Linked DNA regions of Oreochromis niloticus. The protein of the gene in region 1 binds, or shares a complex with, the protein of each later gene. Links are inferred from orthologs where the notes say so. Each region holds a gene or a part of one and is shown on either strand. Other genes may lie near its edges.

The links.
Region 2: the proteins of robo3 (region 1) and protein kinase C-binding protein NELL1 are in contact, whole or in part, in a crystal structure (PDB 6POL), measured with the Homo sapiens proteins. The link is inferred for Oreochromis niloticus from reciprocal best matches to the Homo sapiens genes ROBO3 and NELL1. Residues at the interface, in NP_071765.2 of Homo sapiens: Ser553, Pro555, Val590, Glu592, Phe594, Pro596, Asn600, Thr601, Trp602, Thr604, Ile624, Leu626, Arg630, Gly633, Ala634, Trp635, Gly636, Leu637, Ser638, Glu639, Pro646, Val647, Arg648; in NP_006148.2 of Homo sapiens: Ala440, Lys441, Met442, His443, Tyr444, His446, Tyr458, Arg468, Val469, Asp470, Asp471, Phe472, Ser473, Asp478, Ile492, Cys493, Thr494, Asn495, Thr503, Cys504, Lys505, Pro506.

The regions. Positions count from the first base shown.
Region 1 is NC_031975.2:4,413,905-4,421,832, forward strand, and holds the start of robo3 (roundabout homolog 3), read left to right. Parts: upstream 1-4,913; 5' UTR 4,914-5,278; coding exon 5,279-5,453; intron 5,454-7,928. UniProt on the Homo sapiens protein: Receptor involved in axon guidance during development. Acts as a multifunctional regulator of pathfinding that simultaneously mediates NELL2 repulsion, inhibits SLIT repulsion, and facilitates Netrin-1/NTN1 attraction.
Region 2 is NC_031965.2:5,939,917-5,947,392, forward strand, and holds the start of protein kinase C-binding protein NELL1, read left to right. Parts: upstream 1-4,474; 5' UTR 4,475-4,746; coding exon 4,747-4,795; intron 4,796-5,273; coding exon 5,274-5,402; intron 5,403-7,476. UniProt on the Homo sapiens protein: Plays a role in the control of cell growth and differentiation. Promotes osteoblast cell differentiation and terminal mineralization.

The DNA of each region.
Region 1 (7,928 bases):
TCCCATAGGACTAACTGTAATAACTTCGTTGATTTGCCAAATTTATATCTGCTAGTGACATGAAATAAATGTTTCCACATGTCTAGTAAAGTATCTTTGCATTGATTGTATGGCTGGTCATCCAGTTCTGCATAGACATGGTCAGAAGGTCATGTGTCCTAATCAGTTTGGTGATCAGAACTTTAATTTAATCAGTATCACACTATATATCAAAGTCCCTGTTGTGGTCAGTTTTAAACCTTTGAGTTGAGAAGATTGGGTATCACCATCACCAGGAGGGTGGATCTGACTGAGAAACTGTGGGACTTCACACTTACATGATAATTCAAGAGAAAACCATTACATTCAGTTTTATTTATTACTTCCAGTTCAGCAGTCATTATTAAGGGTTTGCAGCAGTGACCTGAGATGACAGTCAAAAGGTAATCCTCTTTTTTCAATCTAAATGGGGCCATATTATATTAAATAAGACTGGAGCAGTTTGGTCATTTGAAATACAATGCAGGTGTAAGACACTTCCACACTAGCTTCACTTTTCAAATCCACACACTTGTCCATATTTTGCATGTAGTCTCTGGCCAAAATTCCCATTGTTAAATTCTGAATAGTAATCATGATGAAACCACCGTCCCGTGACTCTCTGTCCACCACAATCTAACCGTGGGTCTAAAAAGACTGCATTGTATTGATCAAAGGATTCGCACGGATAACTTCATGTTTTTCTCTTTGTAAGGCTGCGTGTGGATGCTAAAAGGCTTGTAAAGTGTGTCATAGCGAGACAGAGCGTTCCGTCCAACAGGGCGCTGACATTAATGACCCATCTGTATCCATCTCTGCATTAACATTTGTATGAAAGGCCAAACACTCAGTGTGTCACCACTCATCCCCCTTTTGATGGATTTGCATGAAATTTGGTTTCATGCCTCAAACCGGGATCCTCATAACAAAGCAAAAGGTCACCATGCAGATACCTGCTATTCAGCACCACAGTCACACTTGGTTAGAAAATGTCCAGCTATTAAATGAAATGGATTAAACTGAAATGAAACCTGTCTAAAAACAGGTGTTATTTTACTAAATGTTACTACAATTGTCGCAAATGCTTTTACTCTCACAGCACTATGGCTATTTAAGCTCCAGTCATGTTAATGACTAGTTTAACCTCAGTTTTTTGTTTGTTTGGCTGTTTTTGTTTAAATAAAAAGGCAGAAATTTGCAGGTATGAATGAGCAAATTTGCATTTCTTACACAAGTACCTACAGGTACAATATACTACTGGATTTTCAAATTCTTGATACCATTTTTGATACAATGGTGGAAAAAAAAAAAACAGCTACAGTTATGGTAACTGTTTAACACAGTTATCCTGTAACTGTTAAATTAAAACCCCATCATCTCATATTCCATGACTTTTCCTGTTTCAGAGTGTTTAGTTTTTTTAGCCTAATTAAAATACGTTATCCAAAATTCATTTTTAACTTTTCATAATGTTCTTCTGCAATAATTATGTTTTTCAGATGTGTTATTATGTTAGCTTTTGTGTTATTTTTTGTACCACTAGTTTATTACATTATTCTAATGAGCATTTTAACTTTATGATCTGTAATTAAATGATCTAAATCACTGATAAAAATAATAATAACTCAGAAAAATGTTCCTGTCTTACTTAAAATTAAAAAAAATACATGCAAATTGAAAGCTTAGCTTTTTCAAGAAATAACATCTTTGCTGTTGCAGCTGTTGTTGCAGGAGAGGTCAACATGACTTGCTGTTGCTAAAACAGGGGCTTTTCTGATCTCGTGAAATTCCATAGTCATCCTTTAAAATCCTTTATCGAGTCTGTTGTGCTACTGCTTGTGCGTTCTGCTGCTAGTAAAGATAGGGTTATGTACCTGCCTGTCTGCCGCACTGAGTGAAATTGTGTGTCAGCCGGATGAGGCAGAGGGCAAATTGTTGCAAATCAGATCTGGATCGGTGAGTGCAGTTATGCATAAATGCAATCTATTTGTAACTTTGTAACTTTTTGAAGAGCAAAAAGAACATTCCAAGCAGTAAAAAGTACTTACTTGTACCATGAGGCAATACTGTTAGATTTGAACGTTTTATTGTTTATGAAAAACATTGAATACACTCTGACAAGTTTCATTAGGTATCTCTCTCATACAGTACTATGTAAAAGTCCTCATTTTCTCATTGCACTCATAATTTGGTCATTATGAAATATGTATAAATGTAAATACAGTATAAAAGACAAAAACTGAGTTTCTACAGTTCTCTCAAGCGTGAATGTCAGTGTTTATAGTTCAACACAGCTGACTCTCCCACGTTGCAGGCTTAACAGCTTAGACAGTCCAGCGTAAAGTAGCAGGAACATCTGTGCCACATTTGGATTAGAAGTAACCAACTCCCGATGGGACACACTGCTGAAGGTGGTTGAGAACGACAGAGCTGAGGTCCAGACAGACAAGCAGCTGCTGGCCAACCAATCAGATGTAGCGTTGGTTGACATGGAGCAGAAAATTACAGTTTGAAATATCTTAAGAAAGCCTGGAACACCATTTTTCCTGATCACTTTTAACTTTTGCACTATCAGCAGAATCGTGGTGGAGAGGTTAACAGTAATCTTTCACAGCAACATCTTTAAGGGTTTTCACCGTCCTGTTTGCTGGGGATTCTGTTAGTAGACACAGCTTTGAGTGATCACTGTAGTAGACTCGCTCTATGAAAGAGTACAGTTAGCGGTGCCAGGGGTCAGGGCCCAAGCCACTGAACTCCTAAACATACAAAAAGCTATTTTATTCCATGTATATAATAAGTGAATGATATGTAAGTGTATGATCTTAAACTCCAGATGTAGTGCATTCTTTGACATCACACAACACCAGACATAAAATATAGGAATGTGTCACAATTTTAGGTATTTTTACCATGAACAATCAGTAGATTCAAGAAAATAAATATCAGATGAACTGAAAAAGAATATGATGCTACTTTTATTTATTCACACAACAGAATGTTTTAAAAGCACCATCTTTACACTGCAGAAATGATATGATCATGAAAATGGCAGCTTCCATGGCCGAGGAGAGTCATTACTGAGAATTACGAGTGGCTAAGGAGAGCACCCAGGGAGCATGCAATCATTGACGTATATTTGTAGTGGCACTTTGCTGCTGCCTCATTAGTTTATGTTAGAAATAAAAAGTGGCAATAAGAGTTAACATGGTCAATGCCACTAATCTGAAATAGAGAAGACTTATTTCTTCATGTAATATGCCAGGACTTTAGACATATCTAATTATATATAGACTTTCAATGTGGTCCATACTCATCATTGAAACTCTTTGAAGCACATCCATGTAAAATGCTGGAACAACCCGACAAGATAACATGATTCTCATACACAATGTAGCCTGTCAGTGGCTATCGATTCTCCATTGCAACTCAGCCTTCTTCCATAGCATGCCCATATTGAATGCCCATTAACACTGTATGTGTGGATTTAGCTGGCACACATGTCTCATGAATAGAAAACAGCTTAAAATAAAGAGTGACTGGAAAAGACACGAAGAAGAGGGCGCGGGACGGGGGTCGTCACGGCATCTTTGTTGGTTTGTTGCCTCCCTTTGTCACAGTGATGGAGCAGGAGGACAGGCCCCGGATGGTGTATGGGCATCATTAATGGGAGTCACACTGAGGCTGTCAGTGGGGTGTCCAGGAGCCACATGTGACCGTGCTGCTATGATCGCATGTGTGTATCCATGATGATATGCAGACTATGCTTTAAGAGCTATAGCATGCTTGAGCATGAAGGCATGTGATTACATTTCGTTCATCCATATAGACACAGGATAGAAACAGGATATATAGTGGTTGGCCAACACAGCTAAAAGAAACTGCATTATAGAGGGGCTAAGTCATGCTATTATGAAGCAGATGCTGCTTTTTTCAACAAAAAAACTCAAAAAAATATCTGGATCTTTACCTAATCAATAGTTAATGTAAGCATTGCTTTGATCTGTTATTTTACTGTATATTGTAAACTGATAGTTAAAGTTTGCAATCTTGTGATTTATACAATTTAAAATGAAACTAAATTAACTGGTAAACATTATTACAATATCATTGTTTCTTCACAGTAAAAAGTGTTAAATAAAGTTTAATTAGCAATTCAGCATTTATTAAAGATGGCTGCTATAAAGTGTTATTATTATGTTTGCTATGCATGTTTGAAAATTGCAGAGTTAATTGCTGAGTAAGTAACGTTTGTTTCTTTTCACTTTTTAAAAATTAAATGAATTAAAATTTTCTACTGCTTAGTTTAAAACAAACACTGATGCTATAGGATAGGATGCTGTAGCCAACTTACACTTTACTGCTGAGAAAGTCATTTTAGAGACAGATCCACTCTGGTATTTGTTGATGTGGACAAAGGAAAAAGTCTGCATGCAATGTGCTTTGAAAATGTGGACCAGCAGGAAACAAACACTGCCAGCAGGAGTTTAGTTAGTCCCAGGTTTGTTTGTCCAACACATACTGTATGTGTTCATTTATGCATATGTGATGACCTTTTTTGGATGTATGGTTAAGACAGTGACGGTGCGTCTTTTCACCTCCTTTTCTCCACCACCCTGATTCACAGCCTCCTGGGATGATTATTAATCTAATAATTAAACATTTATTGCCAACAGCACCTGCTCTCTCTCGCTCCTCAGAAACCCTCAGGACCCCACCGTAGAGAGAGAGCGCGAGAGAGGAGGAGAGCTGGAGAGGGAGGGAGGGACACAGGAGGAGCCAGAGGGAGGGGTTGGAGAGAGGAGAGCAATTCGAAAGGGTCATCATCACATTGCTGGATTCTTTTACACCAGCGAGAAGCTGTTGTTTTGTATGGCGGCAGACAGCATGTGAAGTTATTTGATCCCAGAACAAAAGAAACAAGGAGGAAGGAACAATCCGATGCTGGGAGGGATTCACAGCGAGGGGCCCCCTGACTCAGTCTGACATCTACAAGCAATTAATCTTCTTATCATCTGACTTCTTTTCACTCACTTTTATTTTTTAATCAAGATTTCTCAGCTTTTTTTCTTCAAAATGTTTGGAAATGTCTGAATCAACTTGAGATGAAAGAGTATCTCTTTAGCTCTTCTTAACACCGAGTAAGGAGGAAAAGCAGATTCAGCGGGAGGCAGAGTCACACTTTTAAAATTAACAGAGTGAGAGAGACAGTGAGAAGTACAGAGAGCAGAGAGGGGGAGTGCAGGTCCCTCTGTGCACCACAATGCTGCGCTACCTGATCAAGACCTTGTTGCAGATGAATCTGTTCACAGACACCATCCGAAACCCTTCCAATGGAACTGACGTCTACTTCAACGGCTCCCTGCAATCCTTCAACGGCTCCCTGCCGCCCTTCAACAGCTCGCTGTTCGAGTGGGGAAACTTCACCGGTTTCAACGGTAAGTGCATCTTCCCCTCTTCAACCTCTTCAAAACACACATGGCATTCTTGAACAAGACACCTGGATCTCTTTTGCAAAGCGGATCTGAAACTGAAAAGGAAAATGTGACCTCATGTGAGGTCACTGGAGATAAACGGATGTGATGTCAGGATTCATATCATTCATATACTCCTGGACACTTGTGTCCAGGAGTATATGACGATCAGCAAACATAAAGTGTTGTTACTAGACTGTAGTAGAAGGTGTTAATATTTAAGCGTAAACTTTATGATATAAACTTTCTAATCACATGAATATGTCCATCCTTCAGTTACCACTGAACCAATCCTGCATCCTCACTTGCCTCATGATTTCTTCTTACAGGGAAATAATAAAGGGGAGTTGGGGGTCAGCAAACTGGGATCACATACTTGTCAGGGTGTTTTTGTGGGCTGTGAGTGAAATGTGACAGAGACAGTATTACCCAATAACACCGCCTATTTTGCAGAACTGTGAGTGGCAGCCTGCTCACTCTGCTAAATGAAGCTGTCTGCTGTCAGCCACGATGTACCCAAACTGTCAGATCTCTTTAACTTTCGCCACCAAGCTCCTCTTTACCCAGTGATGAAGCTCAGTGTTAACAGCTGTGTTGGCTTTGTTTTGTTCTTTTTGCTCTGGGTGAAATTTATTAATGTCCGCTTTTTACCGTTCTGGAAGGAGTTTTGTTGTTAACAAACGTTACGTTACATACTGTATATATATATATCTATATATATACATATATAGATATATATATAGATATATACATATACATACATATATATGGAGAGAGAGAGAGAGAGAGTGTGTACAAGGGTAGAGTTATGTCCAGAGATTGGCATGATGTCTGATTTAATGAGCACCATAGCTTTGTCTCCATGTCATCGCATACCAATGAAAGCTGCATTCAGACACACGCACACACACACACACACACACACACACACAAACATCATTGTCAGACCCATCTATCACATTCACCATATGTTATTTACCTAAAAAGAAATGTGATCTTTCTTTTATCGCTCAGTCCTGAGTTGGTAAAACATCCAGCTGCTTCTCAGCTCGACTCTACTGACTAACGGTAAAGAGGGAAAGCTACAGAAAGGTACACACTCTTTGTGATGCCTTGCGTGGGTGTATACTGTCACAGAGGGGAGTGACGCTTCCCTTTGATGAGTGGACATGGGTGTGAAAGGTGTATTTGCTTCTGAGCCCCACATTCCCTCCTCCCTCCTGTCCCCATAGTCAGCTTCAAACAGCCTCAATAATGCCAAGTTTATAGCTTCTTTTTCATTGCAATCACACTTCTATTTCTCTCTCTCTTGCCATCTGTAAACTCTAATGGAGTGTAGATTGAGTGTTTGTGGGGTTCACTCCTAAAATCTATAGAGAAAGTAAGCAGGAGAGGCAGCAATAAATCTATTGAGGCTGGAGCAGAGAAACACAGTCTGATAGGCTGATAGACAGACATGCCTGCTGTGCATCTCAGCCTCATATTCTTGGGAATCTTCCTCTGTAGCTCACAGAAATTGAATCCCCCCCTTTAGTCTTTAAGTGATATAGATATATTCAGGCAGCCACTTGAGGACGTGTGGGGTTAGATGTAATATTTTGACTAATCAGTGATCAATGATGGACGGTATAAAAGCTTTTTCCTTTTGTGAACATGTCACAGAGATGTGGATTGACTATATGAAAGGAAAGAAAACGATAACCTCTGATATCTAAATTACATCCTACAAAAGTAATCATCGTCCAGATTTGCACTGCAACCCCGCAAAGACACATACATATTTAAAAACCATAATAGAGACATGTTTTCCTGGCCACCATGTGCTGATTCATCACTGGGGAGGGGATGGGTGGTCAAACTGTGGGTATCCAGGCGAGAAGCTCAATAGCAAGTCAGTGGGCGGACAGCTCGTGTGGGTCAACCTGGAGCTCAGAGGGAGGCTCAATGGGAAAATCAATGCAGCCCAATAACCAATTTGGGAAATAATGGACATTTCAGTCAAACACAGCACTATAGTGGACTGCTGGTACATTTATCAGTTCATTCACTTTCTGCCTCTCACTCTGTCTCTGTTTCTTTCTTTATCACACCTCTTCTGTTGACTGTTTCTTTTAGCTCCTTTAACTGACAGTCACTAATTGGGCTTCATTCATTTGCAATTGATTGTTGGAAGCTTGTTTCTTATTATATTTACAACTTTGCGTCCTTATGTTGTTGTTCAATTTGGTTTCAGATTAATTTATTCAAAAGATGTTGTTTGGATGTTTTTAGTCATTTAATAAAGAACGAAAAAGTGACATTTATTTTTGTCATAAATAATGAACTTTAAATAATTTTTCCCTGAATCGATGGATTAAAACAATAGCTTCTCTGCTGCTGCACTCTGGCTCCAGCACCAGACTATGGAGATGCATTCATAATCCATAGGAGACTTCTGAA
Region 2 (7,476 bases), on another chromosome or scaffold:
TGAAATCATGTTTGAGTTGGTGTGCTCTTTTTTGTGTTAACGCTAGCACAGGACCACTTCATCTCACTATTCTACTGCCTGATGTCCAGGAGTAAATAGGAAAGGACAAAAAGAAATACTAAGCCCCTCTCTCATTTTAGCTAGTTCTAAGTCACCTCCAGACTTTTCCAGTTCTTGTAGTGAAGGTTTTGCCACTGGTGTATATATTTGTTTCCTCTGCCAAATTACAGCAGTCCTAGATGAAGGCTGTCAAGCATGGGAAAGAAATCAGGGCGCCAAGCCCGGCATGCAGAGCAGTGACACTCACGAAGGCACATCCGCCAGTCTGCTATAGAGCTACAAATTTGGGCATTGCATAGGGAGTACTTTAACTCTGTGATTAATGGGTAATGATGGGCTTTCAGCAGACACAGCGGGACACTGCTGCATGGCTTTATTCCCTGGGCTGTAATATTCAGGCAGTCGTTCAACAAACGCTGCTCATCAGAAGCTTAGTTCTTCATTACACAATGTACACTATATTTCTTTTCATGTCTGCCAGGGTTATCACATACAAGAAGATTTAATCTGCTGAAAAAGATAGTCAAAACATAAGACATAAAAGTTGTCTGTGGATGTTACAGCGCAAACTGACTAACTAGAATAAAACTTGGATTTAGCTTCTGGTGTCAGGAGCTGCAAATGAGGACTCCTTGTGCTTGTGTTATTTTCTTGAACAGATGTTTATATCACCTGCTGTGTGCCAGCAGAATAATTTTAGTATTTTCAGTCATGATTATTCATTTTTCATTCAGAAATACAAATACAAATCTAATACAAAACAACAATCCCCAGCCACAAGTTGTTATACCAAAAAAACAAACAAAAAAAAAAAACGCTTTTTAATACATAGCTCTACATGTTTAATTTAGCATGGTTTTACACTAGATGCCCTTCCTGACACATCCCCAAAGGGGACTTGCATCTCCAGCTGGAAACAAACCAGCAACCTTTCGCTTGCCAAGCAAATGTGTTATCCACTAGACCACAAGTTGTCACACCAGAAAGTAGCTAAAAAAGGATAAAGTTAATGCTGTTGAACACCTTTGTTACCACCCATGATGTGGAACGGCCGGACTCTAGCAGTTCATTTTGAGAATACCCACCAATGTTGGAGAGTTGTGAGTTGCCTCCTGAGACCTGGAATTGTTTAAAATGTCTCCAAGCTGATATGCAATAACATTTATTGGAAATGGTTGCAGATTTTACTTAACTAAATTTTATATTGCAGGCTTTACAGCAGGGTACAAACTGCTGGTTACACTAAAAAAAAACAAAAACAACTTTTCCTGCAAATATCTAAAAGGGTCTGCAACGTTTTTGGAACAAAAAAGAGATAAAACATTGGACAGATGAAAATAAGATGAACTTGAACCAGAATGATGGAAAAAGAAAAGTGTGGAAAAGGAAAGGAACAGCTTGAGCTGATGCATATTACATTATCTGTCAAACATGGTGAAGACGATATGATGACATGAACATGTTCAGTAGAAAGTGGCAGTAAATACTACTGGAACTGGGTTGCCAGTGTTTATTGATGATGTGACTTTTGATAGAAGCAGGAGGATGAATTGTTAAGTGTACAGGGGTCTACTCTCTCCTCAGATTCCGCCAAATGCTTCAAAACTGACCGGATAGCACTTCACAGTGCAAAAGGATAATGACCCAGAGCATACTGCAAAAACACCTCGGGAATTTCTCAAAGCAAATAAACAGGACATTTTTTAATAACCAAGTCAATCACATGATCTCAACCCAACAAAGTATACTTTTCAGTTATTAAAAATGAAATGCAGAGAGAAATGAATACAGACAGCAATGGAAGGTGGCTGCAGTAAAGGCCTAGCAGAGCGCTGTATGTCAAGGTAACACAGATGATATCCATGTTCTATGATTTAGACAGTTTGCTCCAAAGATTTTCATCCAAGCATTAAAATACAATGTAAATGTACATTAGTTTGTCCAGTTAACTTGAGCCCCTGAAAATGGGGGTGCTGTGTATAAAAATGGCTGTTATTACATTTGTTATAATCATTATTTGTATGTCACCATCAATTGAAGCTGAAAGTTTGCATTTGAATTGCATCTTGATTCTTTGATTGAAAAATCCCCTGTGGTACACAGATGTAAAATTACAAAATTCTGTCATTGTCCAATAACTAATGGACATTACTTTATATAAGAGAAGAAGCTAATAGTTCTGTAATATATCTCAGAGCATTTAATGTGCTGCAAATGTGTGAAAAAGGGAGAGAGTGAATAGTCTTCACAGATGTTACAGGATCATCTGCCTGTTGCTGCTGTAAACACTCTGAGAACTCTGCACATTCTGAGTAATTCCTGTACTTATTTTGTAAAGAACTACACCATGATTTCATCGTATTTCTAACACTGTCACATTGACTGAAGCACTCTTCTAGCTCCAGGGGGTTTTTTTCTGCCCAAAAACCACTTTTTACCATTTTCCTACAATCTCACTGTCATCCTTTAGGTTCATTTGTCTACCCACCTGCTTGCAAACCTCTTTTTGATGTCCCATAGATTTAAACTTAAACAAGCATATTATTTTCATCTGAAAGCTCTTTTGGTTGGGAAAATGAAATAGTCATTTAGTTATTTACCATTAAAAAAAAACTAATCTAAGCATTCCTAAAAGCAGATCACATAGTATTTGCATTTTAAATAAATTAAAGAAGAAAGTCTGAGGCAAAGACACATACTGAGCAGGAGATTGTGTTTGACATTTTTTTGTTGCATCTCTTTCCCCTCACCCCCAATCAGTCATGGGAGATGGCCGCCCCTCCCTGAACCTGGTTCTGCCAAAGGTTTCTTCCTGTTAAAAGGGACTTTTTCCTTCCCAATGTCACCAAGTGTTTGCTCATACAGGGTGTCTGATTGTTGGGATTTTCCCTGTATTATGATCTTTACCTTACAATATGGAGTGTCTTGAGGTGACTTTTGGTGTGATTTGGCGCTATATAAATCAAACTGAATTGAGTCTAAGATTATCTGGCACTATTTTTAAATTTTTCTTTAATTTGCTACTCAGTTGCAATTAGGAAACAATCGTGATTTGGGTTAAAATCGATCATTTTGCAACATTAAACATAACTTAGTATGCTCATTTGAGTAATTCTGCCCAATTTCATGATACAGGTGCATGTTTACGGTGTATTTCACATAAGAGTTTAATTGCTAAAATAGAACTATATGTTATAACCTATAGCAAGCATAGACTTCTAGATTTAGATAAACAGACTGCCAGTGTAACTATCAAGCTACAGTAGATACAAAGAGTAACAGAGTGCAGGGAGAATCAACTGACCTGACTTTGTCCACAGGTAATAAAATCTGCCTACTAGCACCTCTGAGCTCACTACGTGCTTGACTATTGGCAATCGACAGAGGCATTTCACGTGAAAAAGAAATGTCAATGAATTAACAGAAATCTGTATTAATCTCACACAGACACATTCTTTTCCTAAATTTTCCTCGGCTGCCTGTGGGTGGGAATAGGAACCCCTACATAAATTTGCTGTGCTTCAGTAGATAATTCCACACATGATCCTGATATTTATAAAGAAACAACAGACGGATAAATAAATGAAGTGGACAACACTGTGCATTTTAATTGGCTTTCTTTTCCCTCCACTTAATATTTTGAGAGGCAGGAATTTTGTAGCCTGTAAACACCACCGCCTATCTAAAAACAATTTAAATTCTCTTTCCCTCCCTTTTCTGCTGGCTGCTCTGCAACCTGTAATTTCAAATTACATGTTGTTTTACCCTTCAATTTTTTCGGGTTCTGGATCAGTGGATAGGCAGTGTTGTTTACAGTCTAATTTGAATAGGTGGAGGAGTGACCTGCATCCCAAAGCACCGTCCCCGGTGTGGAAAAGGCAAGCACTGTTGGAGCAGGCGATGCATGCTGCTGCAGTCTCTGAGCAGATACCTCTGTTCTTGCCCTCCCTAGTTTGAGTTGACGCAGGTAACCCAGACAACCTGACAATGTAGACAAAGTGAAGGCAGGCAGGGGAATGGTATGATTAATGGACCTCAATAAGGACAGGCCCCAGAGGAAAGAGCACTGGAGCAGCAGGGATTTTCTGAGTTGGGAGAGTTGTGACGCAAATTCTTGTTATACAAACTTCTCATTTAGAGAAGACTCCCTGAGCTACGGTATGTTCATGTGGCTAATATAATGGGCTCCACTTTGTGAACTGCTGTGTCAAATTGCCCCTTGAGGCTGGAAAAAAATCTTTTCTCTGTTGTGACAAATAACAGCAGCCTTCTACAGACATTCCCCATGTCCTCCACTCACCAAGTTCCCTTTGAAAACCCTTTTCTCACCTCCAAAAAACTGGAAGTTTCTGTTGTCTGAGCGGAGGGGAACTTCGCAGTTCGATTGATGAGAATATCCTCGAATTTCATATCGGCAGCTCAGTTTAATAGGAGTCGCACATGAACGCGGATGTGGGTCACTTTTAATGCCGTCCACAAACTGGCTGGATACGTTTAAAGCCCATTAACTCTCCCTGTGTTGTAATTAGAGAACCCCTGCTCACGGATTGTGGACCATTCCTCCGTTCCTCCACATCCAGGCGAAGTGAGAGCGGCGCAGAGCACCAGACGGACCGGAGCGGGTTAGTGTGGGTACACGGAGGCGCGTTACACTCACGGACTCTGTACATCGCAACTCCAACACAAATGGATATTTACGTGGCTCTGTTATCCCTTTTCTTTTTTACCTCACCAGGTAAGCACAAAGCCCGTGTTCACTCTTGTAGCATCTTATTGTAGCAGAAGCTTTTTTTTTTTTTTTTTTTTTTAAATATTTATATATATATATATATTTTAATTTCTTTTTCTTTACGCTTCCCAGTTTGCACATTGAGCGCAAGGATTCCAGAATTGTGGCAGTGCCTTTAATTTTTCAGTATCGTTTCATTTATTTTTATTTTCAATCACCTACAGTTTGCAGAGTTAGAAGACAGGTGATGGTCGTGGACACATACAGCGCTTTCCCCCCTTTCTTTTAGTGGGCAGCCTTAGCAGCATCTTTCGTGAAAAATAAAAACTGCGTGACTTTTTCCACAACCAGCCATTTTAAGTGGATAAATGCAGAAAGCAGTGACCGCGTCTGTGTTTAAAGTGAATCAACATTGTAGTTAAAACACTGTCAGCTACACTTCTGTCAGCAGATTGTCCTCTAACCTCCAAATTCTCTTCCACAGCTTTGGCTTTCGGTTCAGATCAAGACTACCAGATTGACATCATCAATGAACTTGACCTGGCAAATGCCACCTATGGAATTACCCAAGTGGCGGGTCTTCACAACAGCAGCAAAGCCTTCCTTTTCCGAGGTAATGCATGCACTCTGATCGTGTTTTCTCCATCAGTCGCGCTGCTGAAGTTCAAGAAATATCTTTGTCTTCTCTTTTTATAATTACGCACACTCACTCGCGCACGCTCTTTGTTTATTAGTAAGTGTGAGGAAAGCCACACGGCGCCACACCTTTTGGTGTCACCGGATTAGCGGGGATGCTGAGAGAGAACACTCCGGGGAGCCTCTCTCATAATTACTCCACTCTCATTTTGTCCCATGCAGCAGATGCTCAGACTCTTTCAGGCACGCTGATGCGCTTAGTCTGTGTTAGATATCTCCAGCACTTTGATTGCTCCCAGTGATATCCACTGCCTAATGCCAACAACTGGTGGTTAATGGAAACCAGGCTGCTTTCACTGTGAGGATCCTGAAGGACGCACAGCATGGCTACAGCATTTAAAGACTAAAAGGAGAAAAATGCCAAACTCAAATGGCAGTAGTTTAAAAATAATCAACTAGTTTAAATTAAATTTGAGCTTTGTTGTGGTTTGAGAGGGCTTACCAGTGTCCCCAAATTGTTTTCCTATGCTTTGCTGGCTTGCTTCTCTGCACTCCAAAAAAAAGACTGTTTGGCACAACTCATCTTCCTGTAGTGCCGTCAGCTTTGCAGAGGCGGAATTGTTAGAGTTGTGGAGGAGAGAGTGTGATGCACAGCACTGATAGGAGAGAGGAAGAGAGTCAAGATTACTAAGAAAGTTACAGGAGAGTTTTTTTTAGGCGATGAGTTGCTCTATATGTGTTTGTGTGCTTTGATTCCTTCTTCTGCAAGAAAAGTTATCAGCTATTGAGTGAAAATCAGTCTTTGTTCATGTTTTACTTCCCCGATATTCAAAGAGGCTTCAAGTCGTGTGTGTGTGTGTGTGTGTGTGTGTGTGTGTGTGTGTGTGTGTGTGTGTGCGTGCGTGCGCACGCGCGTTTGTTGGAGGTAAACTAGTGAGTCTTTTTTTCTTGCATTACTATTCAAATTTAAAGATATGGGCATAAACACCAGCAGCTTGAATTCAAATTCAGTAGCTCTGGGTGTTGATACTCATATAAAGCAGAGTGGCAGTGTTTTGTGTGTATCTGTGTGTGTGTGTGTGTGTGTGTGTGTGTGCGCAAGTAGTTTTATTTTCTAGAGGGTTTGGCTGGATGAGCAACTGGCCCTGTATGAATGAGTGAAGAGAAGCTTGGCCAAGTCTTTCGAGTTGAAGCTATCCAAGATTCAGGGCTGGTGGCCATATGGGAGCCTTACTTTTTACACGGCCCACACAGGCCTACACTGCAATCCTACTCCAAGCTCTTCTCCCCACAGTTTCTAGGCTTCCAGGGTCGAGGTGCAAAAGCCAGATAGGAAAACAGGGGGTCGATCCAATGGGGAAAACTGGACCTGTGACTGCTGGAGAGGATGCTTGTGTTGAAACCTATTTAACACTTTGCCTAAACTCCCACTACTTTCATGGCCCTGTAACCCAGATGGCTGCAGCCAAAGATGTAGCAATTACTGGGTCTCTGGTGAAATAAAAGAAAAAAAAAGTTGATTCTTGAGCCACTGTAGCTGATTGGGTCAGTGATTATTCGAAATGACCTATTTACATTTTGAGCAATCATATTGTGCTCTGGTCGGAATCTATTTCATTTGTTAGATTGCATAAGTTGTAGACTATCGTGAAATTGAAATGTTGGGTAAATGGCTGGAAAACTGGGGCAAAGCGGCGTTCCAGTTAATGGATAATACTGAGGGGAGTGTCTTTGGCTGGTACCAGTCTCAGCATCTTTCAGTTGGCAGTTGATTTAAAAACAAAAAAAAAAACAGATGGTTTTCATGAGAAAATAGGTTTCAATATCACTTCTCTGTTATTATAATATTAACGTATCAGCACACACTGAAAGCCAGTTTCTGAGAGACAAGCAGGTGCAGCCACTGCTAAAAGGTTCTTAGTTGAATTTGAGACTTGATGCTGTGATGAAAAGAAACACAGATGCTAATAATGCTCTCCACTGTGCGCTGAGAGCAGGGAACAAAACTCAACTAATTTCTAAGATCTCTGCATATTTTTTTTTTTTTAAAT